7 linked regions of the Bombyx mori genome follow. The protein of the gene in region 1 binds, or shares a complex with, the protein of each later gene. Links are inferred from orthologs where the notes say so. Each region holds a gene or a part of one and is shown in the gene's direction. Other genes may lie near its edges.

Region 1 (3,388 bases):
AAAAAAAGTATATTTCAAGCTCCATACGTACTGTTTTTACTCTCATCGGCAGTTTCGCCAGATTTAATTCTTTCCAAGTCATCTTCACTAAAACCTGTAAATTGTGACATGTTTTATTTGTTTTTACATAGATATGTCAGGGTTATGTTTTTCATATAAGGTGCATTAATGTAAAAAATTGCAAAACTCATAGATAGATCGTAAACGTAAAAATCTATATTTTCATTGATTCAACACTGATTCACATCAAATTTTTACTATTCTGCAACACTACTTTGACATTGACTATTTGACGTTATTGGAACTTTTTTAATCACGTTAGATTGAATTCTGGTCTTTTAAGCCAAAAACCCATTGAAATAGTGTTTCGCCCATTTAATTATTCGAATCCATTTAACATTTATTTTAACAATATGTACATTTTGTCTTTAAAATGGTTTGGTGTTATAGCTCTACTCTCAGCATAAGCACTTCAACACACAATGTTGAAGTTCTCGTTTTCTATTCCCAAAATAGTTTTATAAAAAAACCGACTCTACTTTCAATTATTTGATGGTTTTTAGTTAGGCCAAAGATCGTTCATACCATCTTTAATTAAACAAACTTATCTAAATGTTTTTATTGCTAATATATAGTTTTATGGAAGCTTTTCACATATTTTTTCTTCTCTTCACATTTTATCAATAGCGAATTCCTCCAAATACGTTGAGAACTTTCAGCTTAGGTGTGTCGTTTTAGTCGCTACAAGCCCTTCTCTATTAGTTAAACATATTTGAAAGTGTAAAAGATTGTGGAAATATAACAAAATCACTGGACCTGACTTCTCAGGACTTTATGTTTATATAAATTAAAGAAAATAATTACCATTTTCTGTAGTTTTTTTTTCAACTGGGCTTCAATAATAATAAGATGAAATACATACTATTATTAATTTTTTACTACATTTTTTTAAAGGGATTTTATGACCTGGACTAACTAAAACTTTTAGGTCAAGTCTTATTTTAATTTTATGTTACGTAACTTTTTTATATGAAAATTATAGAAATGAAATGAAGTTGAATAATATGAAACATGGCATGAAGTGAAATGAAAACGAAATGAAATGAAATGAGATGAGATGATATGGGATGAAGTATAATCTCAGTAAAATGGTGATCATTTACTGAGACTTTTTCAGTGGACTTTTTGGAAGATCTCGAGAACTTACGTTCAGTGGCTTTGTTTCGTTTTCCCACATTTGTGCACTTTCACAGTTACAGTTAAGCAGTTAATAAGCCACCGTTATTACACATTTAAACCTGAAGAAAGACTAATTAGACAAAATAAAACAAACCACTCCTCGCGTTCCCGCCGAAAAGTCCTAGAAAGAACTAATTATAATAAATTTTAAACTACCTGTGTTTTATCTATGGTGGTGTATTATCTATGAGTAGCTGATGGCCGTGTTGCAAATTCAATGCTTTCATAAATAAAAAATAAAAAAATATCTATGAGTAGAAATTAGCGTCGAACTCGAAGCGAAGCCGATACATTTTGAGGTTATATTTTGTATTTCTTGTTAGCCGATATTAAAGTAAGTACTGATGTTTCTTAAATAAGCAATGAAAACAATAAAGGTGGTTTGAAAATGAATTAACATCCAATTTACTTTTTAGAACCTGCAAAAATGGCGGCTGCTATGCCAATAAATCCCAAACCATTTCTTAATAGTCTAACGGGTAAATCCGTGCTAGTTAAATTAAAATGGGGTCATGAATACAAAGGTTTGTTAGTATCAACAGATGGCTACATGAATTTGCAACTTGCTAATACTGAAGAACTTGTCGATGGAACTTGTACAGGTTAGTATTTAAGTGAACAACTTTAAGTAATCACGAAAACATATTAAAGCAAGAGATTAAGATCTACTGGTAGTGGACCTGGACCAAAATTGAATTAAAAATGAGACGTTCATTGTTTGTTTGGTCTATTATGAGTACACTATTCTGCACCCATTTCGACTTCAAAGCTTTCAAGCATTCTGCTTTGAAGAGTAGATTTAATATTCATATTGTAATAAACTTATAAATTCTAGAAGCCACTTAACACTAAATGTCATGGGGTTCATTTGCCCTTTTAAAGAAAAAAAAAGTACTTGCTACAAAGAATGCACAAAATCAATAAATTTCATAACAAGAGACAACTTGACACTTACAAGATTCCAAACCAAACTTTTTGGTTGTGAATAGTTTTGTGAATTTAATTAATTTAAATTAGTAAATAAAATTTAGAAATCAAATCTTAACATTTAAATATTTTTTTTTATATTTTTTTTTAAGAATCTTTTTTATTGTAATTCAGTCCATGCTACATCAAACTTAATGAAGTCATATCAGCAGAGTTCTGTAAAGCTTTAACGGCGTTTGTTTTGAATACTAGTTCAGTTAGTTCTGTTAGTCCATACATACAAAACACTAAATTAAGAACCCTATTAATTTAAGTATTGGGTTTTATTTCCAGGTAATTTAGGTGAAGTTTTAATAAGATGCAATAATGTCTTGTATGTAAGAGGAGCTGATGAAGAAGATGAAGAAGGAGAAATGAAAGAATAATTAGTAATTATTACATAAGTTAGAATAAGGAATTATCTTAAGAATAACAGGCAAAAGGGAAATTTTAAGCAAAAAAATAGAAATTTCATATTACTCTGTTAGCAGTAAAATTACCTTAGGTATATATCCCGAAATACTAATGATTGAGGAGAAAAATGTTAATTGGAACTATTGTTGTATACAATGTTTAAATGAAACAACTTTAATACTTTTTTTTTTTTAATAACTATGTCTGAAACAACCTCTTCAGCATGAATTCCATAACTTGTATAATTAATTATAAGTAAATTTTCACCATAACCTTGTTTTATTTTCTCAACACTAACTTTACAAGAAAAGGTTTGCGATTTATATTGTCCTTGCAAAAAATGAGCATGTGAAAACAGGGAAATATATTGAAATCTAATGATCTTCAATGTATTTTACCCCATTCCTTCTTGCTCTTTTTTGGCCTTTGGGTATTAGATTCCAAATTCGTTTAAAAACACAACCTCATTCGCAAAAACAATTTTCATTTAAAAAAACTTTGGTTCTCATTCTGGTTATGATTTGAAACTAAAAAGTAAATAATACAACCTTATTTTAATATAGTTAAAGCTCTAGAAGTGACTAAAAAGAGATGCATATTATTTTATAGTATCTAGTCTGTGAGAGAACGAGATAGAAAACTCCTACAGGTTACACTTCTACATTTTGCGAATTGCTGCACACTTTGTATTGCTCTGGATGAAGAAAAAAGCTGACTGCCTACTTGGTATTAAGTAGTTGCCATAGCCCACTACATAAATCATCACTCA
Region 2 (2,327 bases), on another chromosome or scaffold:
TTTGGTACACTGTAGCTTCAATTGACAGATTGACAGTTTTTATTTATTTAGTTGCAACAACAAAAGTGATCATCAATACAAAACATTGACAAACTGACAAAAGTACATAGCAGATGTCACCTCAATTATAGATAGGTGCAATTGACAGTGCATTGACAACAAAAATATGCATAGATGGGTGGACGAGCTCACAGCCCGCCTGTTGTTAAGTGGTTACTGGAGCCCATAGACATCTACAACGCAAATGCGCCACCCACCTTGAGATATAAGTTCTAAGGGCCCAGTACAGTTACAACGGCTGCACCACCCTTCAAACCGAAACGCATTACTGCTTCACGGCAGAAATAGGCAGGGCGGTGGTACCCACCCACGCGGACTCACAAGAGGTCCTACCACCAGTAATTACGCAAATTATAATATTGCGGGTTTGATTATTATTACACGATATTATTCCTTCACCGTGGAAGTCAATCGTGAACGTTTGTTGAGTACGTATTTCATTAGAAAAATTGGTACCCGCCTGCGGGATTCGAACACCGGTGCATCGCTCAACACGAACGCACCGGACGTCTTATCCGTTAGGACACGACGACTTCATTAGTTTGTAAGTGGGGGTTGTGGTTCCACAGCGGCATGGACGCTTTCGGTCGAGTGTGGGACCTCCGCACGGGTCGCTGCGTGATGTTCCTGGAGGGTCACCTGGGTCCCGTGCTGGGGACGGACTGGTCCCCGGCTGGACACTGCCTCGCCACCGCCGCCGGAGACCACCAGGTGACTTGACAACTGTCCCAAGTCGTTAGGGCTTCGTCCCCCCCCATTTATACTTTATACTACCAATGGAAGATGGTATGGTAAATAGGTTTTCCAGGGTTATGGATGTATATTAAATATATTATGTATGTGTATAATAAAAATCTTACATTTATTTCCGTTATCTGGTGTCTGCAATACAAGTTCTTGACGAACTTATCACGGGACAAGTTAACGTTATCCAAACCTAGTGGATCAATGTGGTATACAAACAGAACTTTTCACAATATTCAAAGGCACTATTTAATCATGTTAATATGTCCTACCTATGCTGATAGCCTTGAGAGGCTAGGCTTCGTATCCCATTTATACTTTATCTAAGCCTAGTGGATCAATGTGGTATACAAACAGGACTCTTGACAATATCACGAGTCAAACGCCTTGAGAGGTTATTTCAGCTTAACCTTAACTAGTAGGTGAGCTCATGGGCTCAAACCGGAGTGTTGCTAAAACTGGCCCTATCAAGAGCAGTGCTTCGCTAAATCTACCATCAGATGGTCTGATCAGATCAGAATCGCGAGCCACTGAGAAGATCCGGTAAGAGAAACTCAGTGGGCTGTGTCTGTGGGTTAGTTTACGATGACCGGTGCTTGAGGTACCTAAAAGCACCGTTAATGGACCGGGAGGATCTGTAATGATGTGAAGTTGTTTACTACATTAATCTACTTTAAGATTGGACAATAATTCGTCTTCTCGCATTAAAACCGTGTATAATCTCAAAACTAACTAAATTTTACAGGAGAGTGTTTTAAAGGTTCAACATGTGATATTTTTAATATTAATCAATCATCTTTGCAGCGTTTATTTTTTTTGTTTTTACCAGTTACATTATCTGTCTTTTGAAGTAAGATAAAATTATGTATTGATTTTGTTAATAGTACTCAAAATATAGGTAAACTAAAACTAAACTACGTACTTTTGAGAGTATATATGAGAAAATATACTGGTGATACCAAATGGTTTCGCATTTTTTTTTATTGCTTAGATGGGTGGACGAGCTCACAGCCCACCTGGTGTTAAGCGGTTACTGGAGCCCATAGATATCCACAACGTAAATGCGCCACACACCTTGAGATAAGTTCTAAGGTCTCAGTATAGTTACAACGGCTGCCCCACCCTTCAAACCGAAACGCATTACTGTTTCACGGCAGAAATAGGCAGGGTGGTGGTACCTACCCGTGCGCACTCACATGAGGTCCTACCACCAGTAAATGAATATTTATGGAAATTGTACACTTTTAATGTGTGGTGACGTTATGAAGAGATACCGCGGGTTGGCCGGACGTAGCTGATGTCTCGTGTTTGTTGCAGACCAAGATCTGGGACCTCCGGAGGCGCTCGTGTCTCTACACGGTCCCGGCTCACGCGCATCTGGTCAGCGGTGAGTATAGCGCTCGCTGTGGTCCCCTGACCGCAGTCAAATGTCCGCGATTGACTTCCGCGGTGAAGGATTTTAAATTGTGTAATTATTTTACACATTGAGTTACATTATTGGAGTTTTAGTAAGGATCCCTATT
Region 3 (3,664 bases), on another chromosome or scaffold:
CCCGCGTGGTGGTAAGTGCTTAACGGACCTCATAAAAAGCCATCTTGAGACAAGGTAGAGTACTTGAATTATTGTTTTAGAAAATACGCTACCCTTCAAAACCACAATGTATAACTCGTTCAAAGCATAAATACCACGTTTGTAATGCACCAAAATGTAAAGAAAAAGTCAAATATTAAAATCTATTTTAATAGGGAATCAGGTCAAGGGACATCTGAGGAATTACGCTCTCGTGATTTTCGTAAGGAGTTGGATGATAGAGAAAAAGATGTTAAAACTACGACTACAAAACGTACAAGTGAACCACAAGCAAAAAGAACTAAGGTTGATCAAGTTCCTGCAGCAAGTCTTGATGCTGATGATCCTCTTGAAGGCGATTCCACTGACTCTGATGATTCAGATGATGATACTGCTGCATTGCTAGCAGAATTAAACAGAATTAAGAAGGAAAGGGCCATTGAACAAGCTAAAAAAGTAAGATATATCTTAGATACTAGAGTTAGATACTATACTATAAGACTATTTTTGTACTGATGTACACAAAGTATGTTTAAATTAAATTTTACAATATATATTTTTTTTAATTTGTCTAACTTTAGTGTACTTTAGTGTATTTTGATACCCAAACTAAATAAAATTCAAATAACAAATAAACCTTGTTGCACAAATCAATTTTGTTTTACCTTATAGGAAGCTGAAAAGAAACAAGAAGAGGAAAGAATTAGAATGGAGAACATATTATCGGGTAATCCTTTACTCAACTACTCCGCTGCAGGACAGAAGAATGACATGAAGGTAATTAAAAACATTAAAATGAATTTTGTTTTAACTCCTGATAACTGTTTGGTGATTGAACTGAACTGCAGATGTCATTGATGTTGTATTTATCAATGTTGAAGTAATTGTGCCCTAAAAGATAAAGACTCCCGGTGCATTTGTATAAAGCTATGTGACTGTGCCGGTGCTCTCATCCTGCAGACAGGTACCAATGGTAATGAAATATATACTTAACGTAAATTGACAAATGATTTCCATCATGAACAAATAGTGTTTAATAAAGATCGAACCCACCAAAATTATAATTTGCTTAATGAATGGCAGTAGAATGGGGTAGTAATGTGTTTTCGTTTGGTATAAAATCTGATATTTAGAACTCATGTCTCATAGTGGGTGACAACATTTAAGATGTCGATTTCTATGGGCCATGAACTTAATTCACCCATCAAAGGAATAAAAAAAGTGTAGATGACCTTTAGTTTCTGCAGTGGGTAGGTATTCATTTGTTGTAGTACAAGTTCTTCATTCTGGCTAGTCAGTTTCATGATACTACATTATTAAATTACACATTGACCAGGATTATCTTGATAAATAATTTAAATGCATCTTTTAATTGGCATTTGTTGTTTTGCTGGTGTTTTGTTTTTGTTATTTTGTTATTCCATAGTAACAATACTATCTGTGTTTTACTTTTTTTATGGCATATTTATGTGTTTGTATGTTTATGTATGTGTTGTATGTTTCTGTTCTGGTACACTATGGTACTTTTCAAATCTGTTTCAAGATATTATTTTTCATTCTTCCAAGTATGTCTAGCATTGTCTTTTTGGTGTTAAGTGGTTATAAACTTGGGTCTCACTTAGATTATAATTATTCAGAGCTTTTGTTGTGTATTGGTATTTTAGATATCCTTGCCATATGATAATAATATGATGTGTATTGAAACATGTGCAAATAATATTCAATCAGTATCTGTTTTGATATCTCATTGGTGAAGTATACTGACAACTACCAGATAACCCTTTTATACCAGGTTGGCCATAAGTTTGTTCACCTATCTATGCTATAAAAATAACTATTAAAACGTATTGTTGCTATTGTTTTCGGTTTACTTGTATTTGAATCAATATCATTGATACTCCACAGGGAATACTTTAATAATGCACAAAAAAATTATTTTTCCTTTCATTATGCATATGTAGCGGCAGATATTGAGGATTCAAGACTATTAAATAATTTCATTTAGACTTTGGTTGATTCATTATTTTACATTTTCGGTTCTATAAACACTGGTTGCTGTTTTGACACCACAGGGACTGTGATTTTGTACACCCACTAATAAATACCATACAAAAATGCAAAAGTAATTGAAAGTGATTTTAAGAACATTAACATAATCTGCTCAAGCATTGGATGAATCCGGTATTGGAACGCCCAGAGGCACCACTCAGCACAACTCGTCATTAGGCCTCTACATGATATCATTAGAGAGAGACTGACTGAGTTATGAGAGTCACAACCTTCATCTATGAGGGTCGATTAAGAAGAATTTAAGAAGTCGTCGTGGCCTAAAGGATAACTCATTCGGTGCATTCATGTTGAGCGATGCACCGGTGTTCGAATCCCAGGCGGGTACCAATTTTTCTAATGAAATACGTACTCAATAAATATTCTCGATTGACTTCCACGGTGAAGGAATAACATCGTGTAATAAAAATCAAACCTGCAAATTTTAATTTGCGTAACGACTTGTGGTAGGATCTCTTGTGAGTACGCGCGGGTAGGTACCATCCCCTAGCCTATTTCTGCCGTGAAGCAGTAATGCATTCCGGTTTGAAGGGCGGGGCAGCCGTTGTAACTATACTTGAGACCTGAGAACTTATATCTCAAGGTGGGTGGCGCATTTACGTCGTAGATGTCTATGGGCTGCAATAACAACTTAACACCAGGTGGGCTGTGAGCTCGTACACCCATTTATGCAAATAAAAAAAAAGGACAATCGTAATATTATATCTATATTTTTTTTGGGTTGTTCCAGGTAAAAAGAAGATGGGATGATGACGTTGTTTTCAAAAATTGCGCTCGTTCTGAACCGGAAAAGAAACCTAATACTTTTATAAATGACTCATTAAGATCAGAGTTCCATAAGAAATTTATGGAAAAGTACGTGAAATAGTAAATCATTATTGATATTGTAATTCTAAATTTAAAGTTGTTAAAAGCGATTCTATACCTTATTGTAAGCGGAATAGTGATAACGAAGTGGAAATGCTACTATGGATATTACAAACACGTAAAGAAAAGATTGACGAAAACCAATATAATTTTAGTAAATATTATGAAAAAAATGTCATTTTGTTGTTTTGAATAAATTATATGAAAACAAATAGTATTTTATAAAGTTTATTTTCAAGTTAATGTCACGTTACTGATAAAAAGTAATGTTTGTTTCCTCAACAACAGATAGAGGTCAGTTCATTAGCATAATGTGTCTAATTTACTCATATAACAACGAACATTGCTTTCGGGTTCGAAATTTGAGACTCAACTTCTGAGTTTCAGTGGTAAAAATCTTGGTAGTTGGGGTATCCAAACTAAATTAGGGAAGGTATTAAAGAGATTAATTTACAAAAAATTCAAACTTACTGCCCCGATTTGATAATCAATACGCCACCCGTTAAAGTACATAACTGCATTGTTAATGGTAGTAATAAATAATTATTAAATTAACTTATTAACATTCGGAGTTCGGACTGACCAGACTGACGTGTCCGGCGAAGTTGAATGTTTTTATTATTGCGGCGTTGTGAGTGAGGCGTGAGAGGGGAGGCAGTGGTAAGTGCGGAGCAGGCGGCGGCGGCCTACCTTGAGTGGGCAGGTCCACAGC
Region 4 (4,183 bases), on another chromosome or scaffold:
ATTTGTAAGGGTTGTCAACTCGCAGTACTGCGATATATAGGTAGGTGCCATATAATTATTTATATGGACCGAAATGATGAATACAATCCATAATTTAAGCACAATACACAACATAGTGTAAATTAAGCTGGTTTCTATTCTGAAGCGATGTGACGTGAATGATAATCAACAATACAATGATCAAAAAAAGTATGTGCATGTTATATTTTAGAAAATTATTATTTAATTTCCTTAAAAATCACAACTCTGAAACAAAATCATAAAATAGAATAAAAAATAGAAAACAAAAGGACTGGAAATGCAATAATACAATTTTATTTAATCAACATTTTCAAAATAATCTTTGAGCAAGAGTAAGATATCAGGTGAATAAGATAAAAAACCGGCTTTATCTGATTACTGCCAATAATAACAAAAATAAAAGAAATTCTTTCTAAGCGAAATAACTAAACTCAATTAATTCACTCACTCATAATTGGATATCTCGGATTTTTAATTAATGTTACATTTAAAATCTGAGGCCTGTTTTTATTTGTGTGTGCGTTGTGAATGTTAACAAAATCATGATTCGACGCGTGAATAGATTATGAAATAACAAAAGTTTTGATTCGTTTGAGTTCTTTTAACTTTTTTTTTTTTTTATTGCTATAAAGAACATACGACCGGGCAGATGTTACAAGGTAAATGTCGCGAAAAAAAAGTAATTATATATATACTTTTCTTTTACCTATAATACTTACATAAACTAACTGATAAACATATTAACCTTCTTTACATCACGCAATTAAGTGATAGTATAGGCTAAAAAATCTATTATAAGATATCAGTGACAACCCTAACAAGCCATCCCTATTTTGTCTTTTGGCGTTCCAATTTTGTGTTTTCTCGTCCCTAATTTTTCCAGTCTCGTTCCAAATTACCCTACAAACGTCCCAATTTTCCCCAAAAAGGAAAGAAAAAATATACATTTTTTATTTTGTCGAAATATTGTATTTAAAATAAGAATATTGCAACTTACCGTTTGTTGTGGTATTTCCAGGTGTATTAAAAACTTATATAAACTGTGATCTTATTGAAAAAACAACGATAATATTACTTTTTTTAAAAGTTCTTTAAGCTGTTTTAAAACGCACTTTTCAACCACTATTTTCAATTTAATTTGACGAATTTTTGGGACCAACTTAACTCATATTTAGTACTTCTATAGTTAACTTGGTTTTTCTTCTATACATTGACAAATATTAACATAAACAAAATTAGGTAGATTCCGTGCTACAGGTACTTTGAGAATCTTCCGCAGGTTTGTCCCAATTTACCCCAGGATCCCAATTTACCCCATGTCATGGTAGATAAAATGTTCCCTTCCGCATGTCATTGTGCCACCTGTCAAATGTCAAAAACAACAGAGAAAACTGTCATGGCGTGTCAATTGAATTATTGAATCAAAGGAAAAATAAGGAATGTGTATTTACTTTAATGAAAGTGGTCCAGTCAAAGTAGGATTTTTTCTATAGCCTTTTAAGTTACTATAATTTAATGTTCAGTTCAAGAGCACACTTACAAAAACGTACCCCAAAAGATGGTACTGATCGCGAGGCATATTTGTCATTATTAGTCGACGAATATTTACACTCAAGTTCCTATGGTAATAAAATATACATGCAATATCTATTTAATTAATTTTAATGCGATTTACGTATGAACTTTCACAATTGCCATTAAAGTTTTTACTTTTAAAAATCTTAGATAGTTAGAAAACTATTGCATAAACAAGGGCGACCTTAATGCTAAAGAGTACTCACAGTACAGCTAGCCCTATTGCGTTTGGATAATGGTATTTTTCGTTTTAATAAAATTAAATTGTGTATGTGACTTATGGGATATGATTATAGTGATTTTAATATTTATATTTTATATTTATATTTATTGTATCATACATTAGTTTTTTTTCTTCATTATTAAGTAATGTGCATGAAGGTTTGCTCTGTTTCTGAATAATTAATAACATACCTGTTGGATCTTTTTCACAATTTCTCTAGATAAAAAAGGTTGTTTAGAAGAGATGATTGTGTGACACAATGATGATTGTGTTTTGGTGTGTAGTAAAGTAATCTATCTCTCTCTATCTCTGTCTCTCCACGGCTCTCTCCATGGCACTGCAATTTGTTAATGTTATTTTTCCTTACAGAAGCAAAGTTGCAAGTTTTAGCCAATTTGGCAAATTTTGCATATGATCCTGTGAACTACTCATACATTAGAGACGTTGGAGTACTAGATATATTCTTGTATGTGCTGAAGAATGAAACTATTGGTAGATTAATAAGGTATGCCATTGCGGGTGTCTGCAATTTGTGTTTAGGTAAGCTGTTGATAACAATAGATGAATAGTTTTCTCAAATTATTATAAGTTCAATTAAACTGTCAATTTTTTTATGAAAACTCTTATAAGAAAGAACCTGTTCAATAAAAGTATTCTTTATATTATTATGTACAATAATTTATTTAAGATTATCAAAGTAGCTCTATTTAAATTTAATTAAATACTTGAACTATTTGAATATTTGTGAGTGTTGATAAGATGTGATTTAGTGCATTTTAAAGTAAATTAAAATTGAAAGTGCCCAATAATATGTAGTGAGCTTGCACCGTTTTCTTGTAAATGTTTTAAGTGCAATGCTGCTTATACCAAATAGCCATTTTCCCCTCAATATTGTGTAACTGTCCCTACATACCATTAAATTGGAACTCTCTTTATTATATTGGAAAGTCTTAAGCCCATTAGACTGAAATGGTTTATTAATGTTATATCTGACAGTAGTACCAACACATGCTGCCACCACACTACTGACAGTATTCAAGATAATAATTAGAAGAGTAAGGAAAGTAGTAATTAAAAAGTAAAAAAAATTTGATTCTGATTCTCAATAATATTTTCATTAAGAAAGAATAAAATAGCAAATGCATTAATAAAATAGCAATAGACCCGACTACCGACTAAACCCCATCGAGCTCCACTACTCCGACTCCACGAAACCTACGGTACCGCACAATGCGCGCCGCAGGCTCGCCGTCGCCGGTACCCGTCCTGACAATAGGACGGGATCCAATCCCCGGGAAGATCCCGCAGGAATAGACTAGCAATAGAATAGCAATAGACCCGAAATAAATTATTGCTAAAAAAGAAATTAGTAATACTAAAGATTTATCAGTCATTTTGAATCAAACATTTTGAAGTCGTTGTGGTCTAAAGGATACTCCGTTTGGTGCATGCGTATCTTGCGATGCATTGGTGTTCGAATCCGGCGGGTATCTGGCGGGTATCTGGCGGGTACCAAATTTTCTAATGAAATACGTACTTAACAAATGTTGACGATTGACTTCCACAGTGAAGAAATAACATCGCTTAATAAAAATGAAACCCACAAAATTATAATTTGCGTAATTACTGGTACCTATTGTGAGTCCGCACGGGTAGGTACTACCACCTTGCCTATTTCAGCCGTGAAGCAGTAATGCGTTTCGGTTTGAAGGGTGAGGCAGCCATTGTAACTATACTGAGACCTTAGAACTCATTACAAGGTGGGTGGTGGCATTTACGTTGTAGATGTCTATGAGCTCCGGCAACCACTTAACTTCAGGTGGGCTGTGAGCTCGTCCACCCATCTAAGCAATGTAAAATCCCAAATTTAGAAAAACGCTAGAATCATCTTTAAAAATTTGACACTATATAAAATCATATTGCTATTTCACATTTCACATGTTTATGTAAGAATTATCACTTTTCAGATCCACTGAATGCAGACTATATTTTAACTCACTTGGGATTAAAACCTTTGTTTCGATTATTGAAGTCAAGTGATACAGACACTGTAGCTGATACAATAACGACATTGATATATATGTACAATGAGAAAACAAAAACTGAAATAACTGATCAAGACGTTATAAATATGATGTCAAATTTGAAAACTACGCAGGATTTGAGGATCGTCAATTTAGCTACAGTTTTTCTACAAAATGTGTGTAAGACCACCTGAATAGTTACATAAACGAACTTCATAATGAACAAGATGCTCTCGAATAGATTCCCCTATATTATTGTGAACAATAAAAATTATCAAAAAATATGCAAGATTCATACCACATCCTTCAGCAACACAGCTTTTAAAGCTGGTGATAAAAT
Region 5 (3,500 bases), on another chromosome or scaffold:
ACAGACTTATAAGTGATTCGGTGCAAGAAAAATATTTTTTTAAAAACTGAACAATTTTAAAGATTTTAAATGATAAAGGTTTTTTTTTATACACACACATATATATATATATATAAACGGTAACATATTGTTACGCGCTGGGCTTCGGGATAAATAAAACTTGCACCGAAGTACAAATTAACACTCTATTAAACACTTTAAAATTCTCACTTCGCTTCAGATGATCCGTTCGTTGTTTCGCTTCGAGTAGAACCGATTACTGACTGTCTTCATGTCATATCTGCAACGCTTTTACAGTCGACGCGACAACTCTACAATTATCGAGAACGTTCCCGATAGGGCGAGTCATTTCGTTATGTTTTTCCGCTATTCGATAATAGATGGCGTTGCAATTCTCGAACGCTCTGATTTTACTAGTTCTTTTGATATTCGACGACAGATGGCGTTACTCTAACCGACGTAACAATGTGCATGTCTGTTCCCAGGGAAGCCGATCCGTATAGTGGCCCTGTCGCTACCGCTGGCCGACGCCCGCGACGTTGCCCAGTGGCTCGGCTGCAACGCGAATGCCACCTTCAATTTCCACCCTAGCGTCAGATCCCTCCCACTAGAGTTGCACATCCAGGTAATTCACTAATAAATTATTATATATATATATATATATATATATATATATATATTTTTTTTTTTTTTATTGCTTAGATGGATGGACGAGCTCACAGCCCACCTGGTGTTAAGTGGTTACTGGAGCCCATAGACATCTACAACATAAATGCGCCACCCACCTCGAGATATAAGTTCTAAGGTCTCAGTATAGTTACAACGGCTGCCCCACCCTTCAAACCGAAACGCATTACTGCTTCATGGCAGAAATAGGCGGGGTGGTGGTACCTACCCGTGCGGACTCACATAAGGTCCTACCACCAGTGATTACGCAAATTACAACTTTGCGGGTTCGATTTTTATTACACGATGTTATTCCTTCACCGTGGAAGTCAATCGTGAACATTTGTTGAGTACGTATTTCATTAGAAAAATTGGTACCCGCATGCGGGATTCGAACACCGGTGCATCGCTACATACGAATGCACCGGACGTCTTATCCTTTAGGCCACGACGACTTCAAAATATTATAGGATAGGAAATTATAGGAAACATTAGGGAACACAGCGTTAGGGATCTCCATGATGACCTGGAACTTTTTTTTTTATTGCCTTTGTAGGCAGACGAGCATACGGCCCACCTCATGGTGAGTGGTTACCGTCGCCCATGGACTTCAGCAATGCCAGGGGCAAAGCCAAGCCGCTGCCTACCGCTACCTGGAACTTGACTCGGTCAGTAAGTATCTACGGTCGGCATCATTGTGCCACTTTGAGAAGGCGGCACGACATGAGAACCCTCTTGTCGTGGCCGCTGGAAACTACATACCCGATCCTGTAGACCGAATGGTAAACAGTCGACGTCGTCCTAAACATGTCATTAGGGATCCTCCCGATCCATGAATGGTGCTTTTAGGTACCACAAGCACCGGTCACCGTCCTCCTTAATTCCTAATCCTCCCGAATTAACCCACAGACCCACTGAGTTTCTCGTCGGATCTTCTCAGTGGGTCGCGTTTCCGATCCGGTGGTAGATTCTGCGAAGCACTGCTCTTGCTAGGGCCAGTGTTAGTATCACTGCAGTTTGAGCCCCGTGAGCTCACCTACTAGTTAAGGTTACGCTGAAATAGCCTCTCAAGGCTATCAGCTTAAGTAGGAAAAAAAATGCATTAGGGGTGAGGTCCAATATATGTAGTGAGATATTAATTCACTCAACTAATGGTAAAAAGAATCAAGAATGAATTAACGCCTACTGGGAACAAGTCACATAAATTTATTCGTCTCCAAATCAGGATTCTTTTTACTATAAGACATGGAGACTGATATATACTGACATTATAATGATATGGAGTAATTCAGAATGAATAAGCAATAAAATACTTAATTGCTTTTTCCTTTATATAATAATAAAACAATATTTAAAGTCCTTAATCTCTTTTAAAGTTAACATTAATAATTAAACAGTAAACATTATTAATAAAATATACAAACCTGAACTCGTGTTTTTACTCAATGACATTGAATGACACCGAAGAAAATCTTTTTTAAAAACTAAAGTTTTAAATAAATAAAGGTTTTTCTTTACATATGTCCTTTAAACGTTTATAAATATATACATACTAGTTAAATACCGAGCAAATTTTTTTTTTATAAATCTTGTTTTTTTAGAAATTATGTTTCAATACCAATTACATCTTGATAAAATGATGACATATGAATTATATTTTTCGATCTTACCGTATAATAAAAAAATATGAACTGGTTATTTAAAGAAAAAATCAAAATTATCGATAAAGTTGATTATTGAAAACACGAATAAAACAACATTTTCTGAAAATAAATCGTAGTTGGATCGATTTATCGCCCCCGAAATCCCTTGTATATTAAATTGTATGAAAATCGTTGGAGCCGTTTCCGAGATTTAGATTATATATATATACATATATTTATATATACATATATTTATATACAAGAATTGCTCGTTTAAAGTTATAAGATAAGGTATAGATAATAAACTCCCAAACAAAGAGCGAACGAACAATTTCGCCACTTAAATATTTTCCTGATGCGGGAAACGAACCCACGACCCTCGGTGCAACAGTCGGAGGCGCTAATTACTGCACCGCCGATTCGGTCAATTACTTCAAAAGTAAGCTCACGAGAACTAATGTTACAGGGCTTCAACATATCGCACGCGCCGACCCGGCTGACGGCCATGACGAAGCCCATCTACAACGCGATCCGGCGGCACGCGGGCACCCGCCCCTGCGCAGTGTTCGTGAGCTCGCGCCGCGCCGCCCGCCTGCTCGCCGCCGACCTGCTGGCGCTGGCGGCCGCGCGCGCAGCCCCCGCCGCCTTCCTGCACGCCTCGCGCGACCTGCTCGCGCCCTTCCTCGACGCCGTGCAGGACAAGGTCTCTGCACCTACTGTACTACAGGCCCCCCGCACCTTACAAACCGAAACGTGTTACAACTTCACGGCAGAAATAGGCAGGGCGGTGGTACCTATCAGTGCAGACTCACAAGATGTCCTACCTACGGCTACTGATAAATATCTCGTAATCCATCAAGACTACTGCCAAAAATATTTTTGATAGTTTCAAATCTTTTTGAGACCTATTCACTCTGTTAAAACTCTCTCACTCTGTTGTTTTGCTAACAGCTGATACACGAGGTCAACGACCTCCCTATACTTTAAAATATTCTATACACAGCTAGCACATAAACATACTATAAGTGTGATCTCGCACGTCCAGATGCTGAAGGAGACGCTGTCCGCGGGCGTGGCGTACCTGCACGCGGGCGTGTCCGCCGGCGACCGGCGCGTGGTGCAGCAGCTGGTAGAGTGCGGCGCCGCGCAGCTGTGCGTGGTCGCCGCCGAGCTGGCCTGGAGCTTCGCCGC
Region 6 (2,568 bases), on another chromosome or scaffold:
TTCTTTCGGTAATTTGCTCATAACTTGTCAGAAATAACAATAATTCTGAATAGAGAATATTTAAAGGCGAACAGAATTACGAAATGTATATCTTGATAAAAACAACTCTCTCAGTAATGACTGGCTTCTGGTTATTAAGTTTATCAAAAATATTGAATAAACACGGTAGTGTATTTTCTATGGCAACTGGTTTTAAATTGATCAATTAATCAACATAACAACATACCAAAGAGTTTAGAAATACGACGATATCAACGTACCCTAGAGTGTACTTTGTAAGTACTCTAAGTTGATATGTAACTGTGAGCATAGAAAATACACTTAATTAAAATACCTGTGAGCTTAAGATAAGTGGATGAGGAGAACCGCAGACCGGGCTCAGTGGTGTGGATTGGGAGAGGCTTATGTCCAGCAGTGGACGACTGTGGGCTGTTGATGATGATGATGATGATGATGATGAGCTTAAGATTCCATGATAGATGCAGCTGATCTAGCGTGGTTGTAATTATGTATATCTCACGGGTTTTTTTTTATTGCTTTGGTGGGTGGACGAGCTCACAGCCCACCTGGTGTTAAGTGGTTACTGGAGCCCATAGACATCCACAACGTAAATGCGCCACCCACCTTGAGATATAGTAAGTTCTAAGGTCTCAAGTTTAGTTACAACGGCTGCCCCACCCTTCAAACCGAAACGCATTACTGCTTCACGGCAGAAATAGGCAGGGTGGTGGTCCCCACCCGCGCGGACTCACAAGAGGTCCTGCCACCAGTAATTACGCAAAATATAATTTTGCGGGGTTCATTTTTATTACACGATGTTATTCCTTCACCGTGGAAGTCAATCGTGAACATTTGTTTAGTATGTATTTCATTAGAAAAATTGGTACCCTCCTGAGATTCGAACACCGGTGCATCGCTCAACACGAATGCACTGGACGTCCTATCCGTTAGACCACGACGACTTCTATCCTTCCTTTACCTTTTTTTACTTTTTATTTTATCTTTTATTAACCTCTTTGCTTTAATAACTTTGTTGCGTGAGCTGTAGAAGTGTAGTTAATAGTTAATTTTGTTAACTTACTGTTTTTTTGTTTGTTGAAACGTGCTATTAATGAAAAATTGTAACCGTTTAGTATCTCTAAAAGTCCACAAGTATAGGAAAATGTGACAACACAGCTGTACTCAACTGTTTTGGTCAGCATTATCGGCAAACGAGTATCTGTCCCACTTAATAATAAGTGGCGATCGTCTCTGATGAACGTCAACGTCAGAAGCATAGACTAAGACTAATTCCACTGCCGGGGCTCTTCCCAAGCTTCGTTAAAAGATGAAAGCTTATTTCAAAACCAGATGATATGTAAACAGATCTAAGAACTTACTGTGAAAGATGCAGTGAAAGAAATAATAAAAAAAACTGTGCACAACCTTTGGTGTTTAGATTTCAACGTTAAGTATTGTATCTATGGTTTAGATACGCCGTGTCTGCAGTAATCTGCACTGCAATTTATGTATTGTCTATGAATACTCTTTGTTTTGGGCTGCTACGTGATATCAATATTAGCTGAATTAGAATATAAACTTTAGAGTCTATACGATTTCAACAAGCATCTTGCCTTTAAAGTAAGTGTGTATATTTTATTAGAAACGTTTTATTTATTTTATAACCATTTAATTTTACATTAATGACATTACTAACTCGAACTATAACCTTAAAATAATTTACAGAATAAAATGGGTGAAAGATACAACATTCACAGTCAACTTGAACATCTACAGAGCAAATATATAGGCACAGGCCACGCCGACACTACAAAATATGAATGGCTTATGAACCAACATCGCGACTCTTGCTGCAGTTACATGGGTCATCCGGATTTGTTGAGTTACTTTGCGATCGTAGAAAATGAATCTAAAGCGCGCGTAAAATTCAATTTGATGGAACGAATGCTTCAACCATGCGGCCCACCGCCAGAAAAGCCTGAAGATTAAACGCTTCGATTTTAAAAATAGAATTAAGCTAATTTACTTATTATTTGACTTTGAATCCCTTATCATGACATAAATTCGAGCAGTTTGTTTTCATTTCTATAACCTTTAACAAACACAATTAGTCTATTCAAATAGTACCACCAAAAACTCAACTATTATCAATAAAAACTACAAATTTTAATAACAGGTATAGTTTATAGTTTAGAATTGGTTCAATGGTCAAATGTTTGACAATCTTATTTTTATATACAAACTTGTTTCATATTGTTTTATCTCAAAGAAATCAGTTTTGATTTCCATTTAGCCTTATATATATACAGTCAAAATCTGTTATAACGACATCGAAGGGACTGCTCATATTCAGTCGTAAAAACCGATAGTCGTAACAACCGGTAATGTTTAATGTGTATCGTGCAAGTACAAACAAATCGATAGGGAATTATTGGAAAAATATATTTACAAAATACGTGATTTTTCTTCAATATTAATTTGTTTTCTTTTTCTTTGCGACATTTTCAAAGTTTCACGAATAACTCCACAAAGTTTTGGTGCGTTTTATGTATAGATAAGTAATAAACT
Region 7 (2,962 bases), on another chromosome or scaffold:
GGCAACAAGATTGTTATAATTCTGATTACAACCAGGTTGCTCACTGCTAGGAGTGGGTGATATAAATCGTATATAGATTCAATATCTATATATCGCAGCAATATCGTTGAATCCGATATCGCCCCGCACGAAATCTATATATCGATATCAGCCGATACACGATATTGCTCGATGTGATGCGCATCGCCATATCGGACCGATTCGTGAATCGAAATCTATATTTCGATATCAGCCGATACACGATATTGCTCGATGTGATGCGCATCGGCATATCGTACCGATTCGTTAATATCAGCAATATTCGTTTGGTTCGTATCGAATCGGCCAGAGTGAGTGAGCGCACGATAGCGATATCATGTGATGAATGAAACAGAAACAGGCATTATCCATACAATTGTAAACCTTATATTTAAGTCCATATGTCTGTAGATTATTCTAAGCGTATCAGCAGGATACAATTAAGGAAAGAAGTTTCAACTTTCGACCCTAACTTGAATGCAGTATAGCCTATTTGCATCGTTGAATTTAATTTCACGCGCTTTGACCTTGAACTAGAATTTTTGGACAAGTGTTTATAAATACTTCAAAGTTTTTTGTGTTTGATTTTTAAAGTACACATTTTTCTATTTTTAGTTAAATCCAAATAATTGAGTTTATTTCTTGTGTTTGTATTAAACTTTTGAAATCTACACTCTTTTGGTATATTTTGTAATTTTAAATTAAGACACAAAATACTAAAAACTGAAAATAATGTAGCCAGTCCTAAGCCTGGTAAAAGCATGAAGGAAAGTTTTTTTGATATTTTTATTTTCATGTTCTTTTTATTACTTTAAGATCATATTATAAATTGATATCAGAAAACCAACCGTATAACGTTGACTTAAATACTACGATATTATATCGGCGTATCGTTTCAAATCTCAAATATCATGAATCGAGAAAATCTACCAGCATCCATCAATATATAGATTCAGAAAATATATAGATTCAATATCCGATATTGATCCTCGATATATAGATACGATTCGATACGCGGCAAAACCGATATTACCCACTCCTACTCACTGCGCACGTATCCGCAATTGTGCCCGCACAGTGCGGCGACCTTAGCGCAAATGCGGTTTTTCCTTTAAATATATACATACATATTATGTATATGTAGGAAGATCGGTATTTTTTTTGATCAGGTTCACACTGACACATTAGAATTATTTTAAAATAAGAATAATGAAAATTACAGTCATCGAATGACATGACGAGGTAAGGAGGGTTTTTTTTTGGAAAATAAAAAATTTTGGTATGAAAGTCCACTAGATTTCACTCTACCGTCCCACATTATATACATGTTGTAATATATAGTGCTGTTGATTCCACCGACTGAGCCGGTCATCGGGGTTTTCGTCGAACCCGTCGCTTGCGACGAAGGGCTCGGCGAGTAAATTAACCCACAGACACAGCCCACTGAGTTTCTCGCCGGATCTTCTTAGTGGGTCGCGTTTCCGATCCGGTGGTTGATTCTACGAAGCACAGCTCTTGTTAGGGATCGTGTTAGCAACAACGTCAGGTTTGAGCCCCGTGAGCTCACCCACTCGCCCGGTGACGCTGATATGGTCTCACAAGACTATCAGCTTAGGTAGAAAAAACCGACTGAGTCTGTGGCTCGTCGCGCAGGTCACGTGACCCAGGACGCTCCGGTCCCCGGGTCGCCGCTCTACACCATCAAAGCGTTCGTCCCGGCCATAGACTCGTTCGGCTTCGAGACCGACCTGCGCACGCACACGCAGGGCCAGGCCTTCTGTCTGCAGGTCTTCCATCACTGGCAGATCGTGCCCGGCGACCCGCTCGACAAGAGTATTGTTATCAGGTGAGTTGTCTAGTTTGGATTGTTTTATCTATCTAATTTATAAAAATGAATTCCTGTTCGTTAGTCTCGCTAAAACTCGAGAACGGCTGGACCGATTTGGCTAATTTTGGTCTTGAATTATTTGTGGAAGCCCAGAGAAGGTTTAAAAGGTAGATAAATAATAAATGCTCGGAATTAAATATAAATAAAAAAAATGTTTTCTTTTTCATGTGTCCCCCGTCGGACGGATTCGTTTTGTTTATTTTAAGTTTATTTTATACAAAAGCTTAGGTCTTTTATTTATCGATTGAGGCACTACGAAGTCTGCCGGGTCAGTGTATTGACGAAGATAATGATATTTATTATAAACGAATCTGTATCAGCAGTGAATGATAAAATCATATTTAATTCATTTTTTATTTATTTAGGCCATTGGAACCACAGCCAGCGACGCATTTAGCCAGAGAGTTCATGATCAAGACCCGTCGACGCAAGGGGCTCAGTGAGGACGTGTCCATCAATAAGTTTTTCGACGATCCTATGTTGTTGGAGCTGGCAAGACAAGACGTACAACTTCATTAATTATATTTCTGATTTAATAAAATTTACCAAACAATTATTTTGGTATTTGTTTTTCATTTTACGTGCAAAGTTTTGATAAAATTACTGAACAATAACATAATATATATGTAGTGAAAACATATTATTATAGTATGTAATACATAGATTAATTATTATAAATCAAAACTAAAAAACATTTGCAGTTGTATGTGAAACTTTTGGCGTTATACTATTCATTCTATATATTTTTTATTAAATCCATTAAACCTAGAGGGAGTGCGCGGTACTTTATAAAATTGCCAAACGTTAAAGCCGGCAGAGGTGACATGTTAATATTTGTCGCATTTTAACGATTTATCCTAGCGATTATACTACTCACAAAATAAATCCAACAACATACTAATGTTAGGTAGTTAAGCCATAAGTTTCTCGGCTAATCTAAATTAGTAAAAAAAAATGTATTCATTATTCAAATTGTTTTACTATTTTGTCATGTTCACGTTTATCAAATTTATCGGTAGGTGCCTAACAGTAGAAACATAGTTCAGAATCGGCAGT

The links.
Region 2: small nuclear ribonucleoprotein protein F (region 1) and U4/U6 small nuclear ribonucleoprotein Prp4 share a complex: the UniProt entries of both Homo sapiens proteins name them as parts of the U4/U6-U5 tri-snRNP complex. The link is inferred for Bombyx mori from reciprocal best matches to the Homo sapiens genes SNRPF and PRPF4.
Region 3: small nuclear ribonucleoprotein protein F (region 1) and protein CWC15 homolog share a complex: the UniProt entries of both Homo sapiens proteins name them as parts of the minor spliceosome. The link is inferred for Bombyx mori from reciprocal best matches to the Homo sapiens genes SNRPF and CWC15.
Region 4: small nuclear ribonucleoprotein protein F (region 1) and armadillo repeat-containing protein 7 share a complex: the UniProt entries of both Homo sapiens proteins name them as parts of the minor spliceosome. The link is inferred for Bombyx mori from reciprocal best matches to the Homo sapiens genes SNRPF and ARMC7.
Region 5: small nuclear ribonucleoprotein protein F (region 1) and U5 small nuclear ribonucleoprotein 200 kDa helicase share a complex: the UniProt entries of both Homo sapiens proteins name them as parts of the U4/U6-U5 tri-snRNP complex. The link is inferred for Bombyx mori from reciprocal best matches to the Homo sapiens genes SNRPF and SNRNP200.
Region 6: small nuclear ribonucleoprotein protein F (region 1) and splicing factor 3B subunit 5 share a complex: the UniProt entries of both Homo sapiens proteins name them as parts of the minor spliceosome. The link is inferred for Bombyx mori from reciprocal best matches to the Homo sapiens genes SNRPF and SF3B5.
Region 7: small nuclear ribonucleoprotein protein F (region 1) and 116 kDa U5 small nuclear ribonucleoprotein component share a complex: the UniProt entries of both Homo sapiens proteins name them as parts of the minor spliceosome. The link is inferred for Bombyx mori from reciprocal best matches to the Homo sapiens genes SNRPF and EFTUD2.

The regions. Positions count from the first base shown.
Region 1 is NC_085117.1:15,790,630-15,794,017, forward strand, and holds small nuclear ribonucleoprotein protein F, read left to right. Parts: upstream 1-1,495; 5' UTR 1,496-1,573; intron 1,574-1,655; 5' UTR 1,656-1,666; coding exon 1,667-1,841; intron 1,842-2,499; coding exon 2,500-2,591; 3' UTR 2,592-2,888; downstream 2,889-3,388. Other genes in the region: RAB6-interacting golgin, read right to left, coding at 32-110. UniProt on the Homo sapiens protein: Plays a role in pre-mRNA splicing as a core component of the spliceosomal U1, U2, U4 and U5 small nuclear ribonucleoproteins (snRNPs), the building blocks of the spliceosome.
Region 2 is NC_085130.1:18,534,308-18,536,634, reverse strand, and holds part of U4/U6 small nuclear ribonucleoprotein Prp4, read left to right. Parts: intron 1-629; coding exon 630-771; coding exon of another isoform or gene 772-780; exon of another isoform or gene 781-806; intron 807-859; exon of another isoform or gene 860-924; intron 925-2,121; coding exon 2,122-2,191; intron 2,192-2,327. UniProt on the Homo sapiens protein: Plays a role in pre-mRNA splicing as component of the U4/U6-U5 tri-snRNP complex that is involved in spliceosome assembly, and as component of the precatalytic spliceosome (spliceosome B complex).
Region 3 is NC_085110.1:8,228,614-8,232,277, reverse strand, and holds the end of protein CWC15 homolog, read left to right. Parts: intron 1-194; coding exon 195-474; intron 475-690; coding exon 691-795; intron 796-2,815; coding exon 2,816-2,953; 3' UTR 2,954-3,164; downstream 3,165-3,664. UniProt on the Homo sapiens protein: Involved in pre-mRNA splicing as component of the spliceosome. Component of the PRP19-CDC5L complex that forms an integral part of the spliceosome and is required for activating pre-mRNA splicing.
Region 4 is NC_085121.1:11,321,589-11,325,771, forward strand, and holds the start of armadillo repeat-containing protein 7, read left to right. Parts: upstream 1-1,383; 5' UTR 1,384-1,536; coding exon 1,537-1,645; intron 1,646-2,188; coding exon 2,189-2,359; intron 2,360-3,786; coding exon 3,787-4,037; 3' UTR 4,038-4,183. UniProt on the Homo sapiens protein: As a component of the minor spliceosome, involved in the splicing of U12-type introns in pre-mRNAs.
Region 5 is NC_085130.1:11,233,514-11,237,013, forward strand, and holds part of U5 small nuclear ribonucleoprotein 200 kDa helicase, read left to right. Parts: intron 1-485; coding exon 486-625; intron 626-2,775; coding exon 2,776-3,012; intron 3,013-3,354; coding exon 3,355-3,500. UniProt on the Homo sapiens protein: Catalyzes the ATP-dependent unwinding of U4/U6 RNA duplices, an essential step in the assembly of a catalytically active spliceosome. Plays a role in pre-mRNA splicing as a core component of precatalytic, catalytic and postcatalytic spliceosomal complexes.
Region 6 is NC_085126.1:5,965,730-5,968,297, reverse strand, and holds splicing factor 3B subunit 5, read left to right. Parts: upstream 1-1,460; 5' UTR 1,461-1,620; intron 1,621-1,725; 5' UTR 1,726-1,731; coding exon 1,732-1,989; 3' UTR 1,990-2,068; downstream 2,069-2,568. Other genes in the region: uncharacterized protein LOC101736097, read right to left, coding at 1-21. UniProt on the Homo sapiens protein: Component of the 17S U2 SnRNP complex of the spliceosome, a large ribonucleoprotein complex that removes introns from transcribed pre-mRNAs.
Region 7 is NC_085121.1:1,473,641-1,476,602, reverse strand, and holds the end of 116 kDa U5 small nuclear ribonucleoprotein component, read left to right. Parts: intron 1-1,671; coding exon 1,672-1,864; intron 1,865-2,271; coding exon 2,272-2,425; 3' UTR 2,426-2,462; downstream 2,463-2,962. UniProt on the Homo sapiens protein: Required for pre-mRNA splicing as component of the spliceosome, including pre-catalytic, catalytic and post-catalytic spliceosomal complexes. Component of the U5 snRNP and the U4/U6-U5 tri-snRNP complex, a building block of the spliceosome.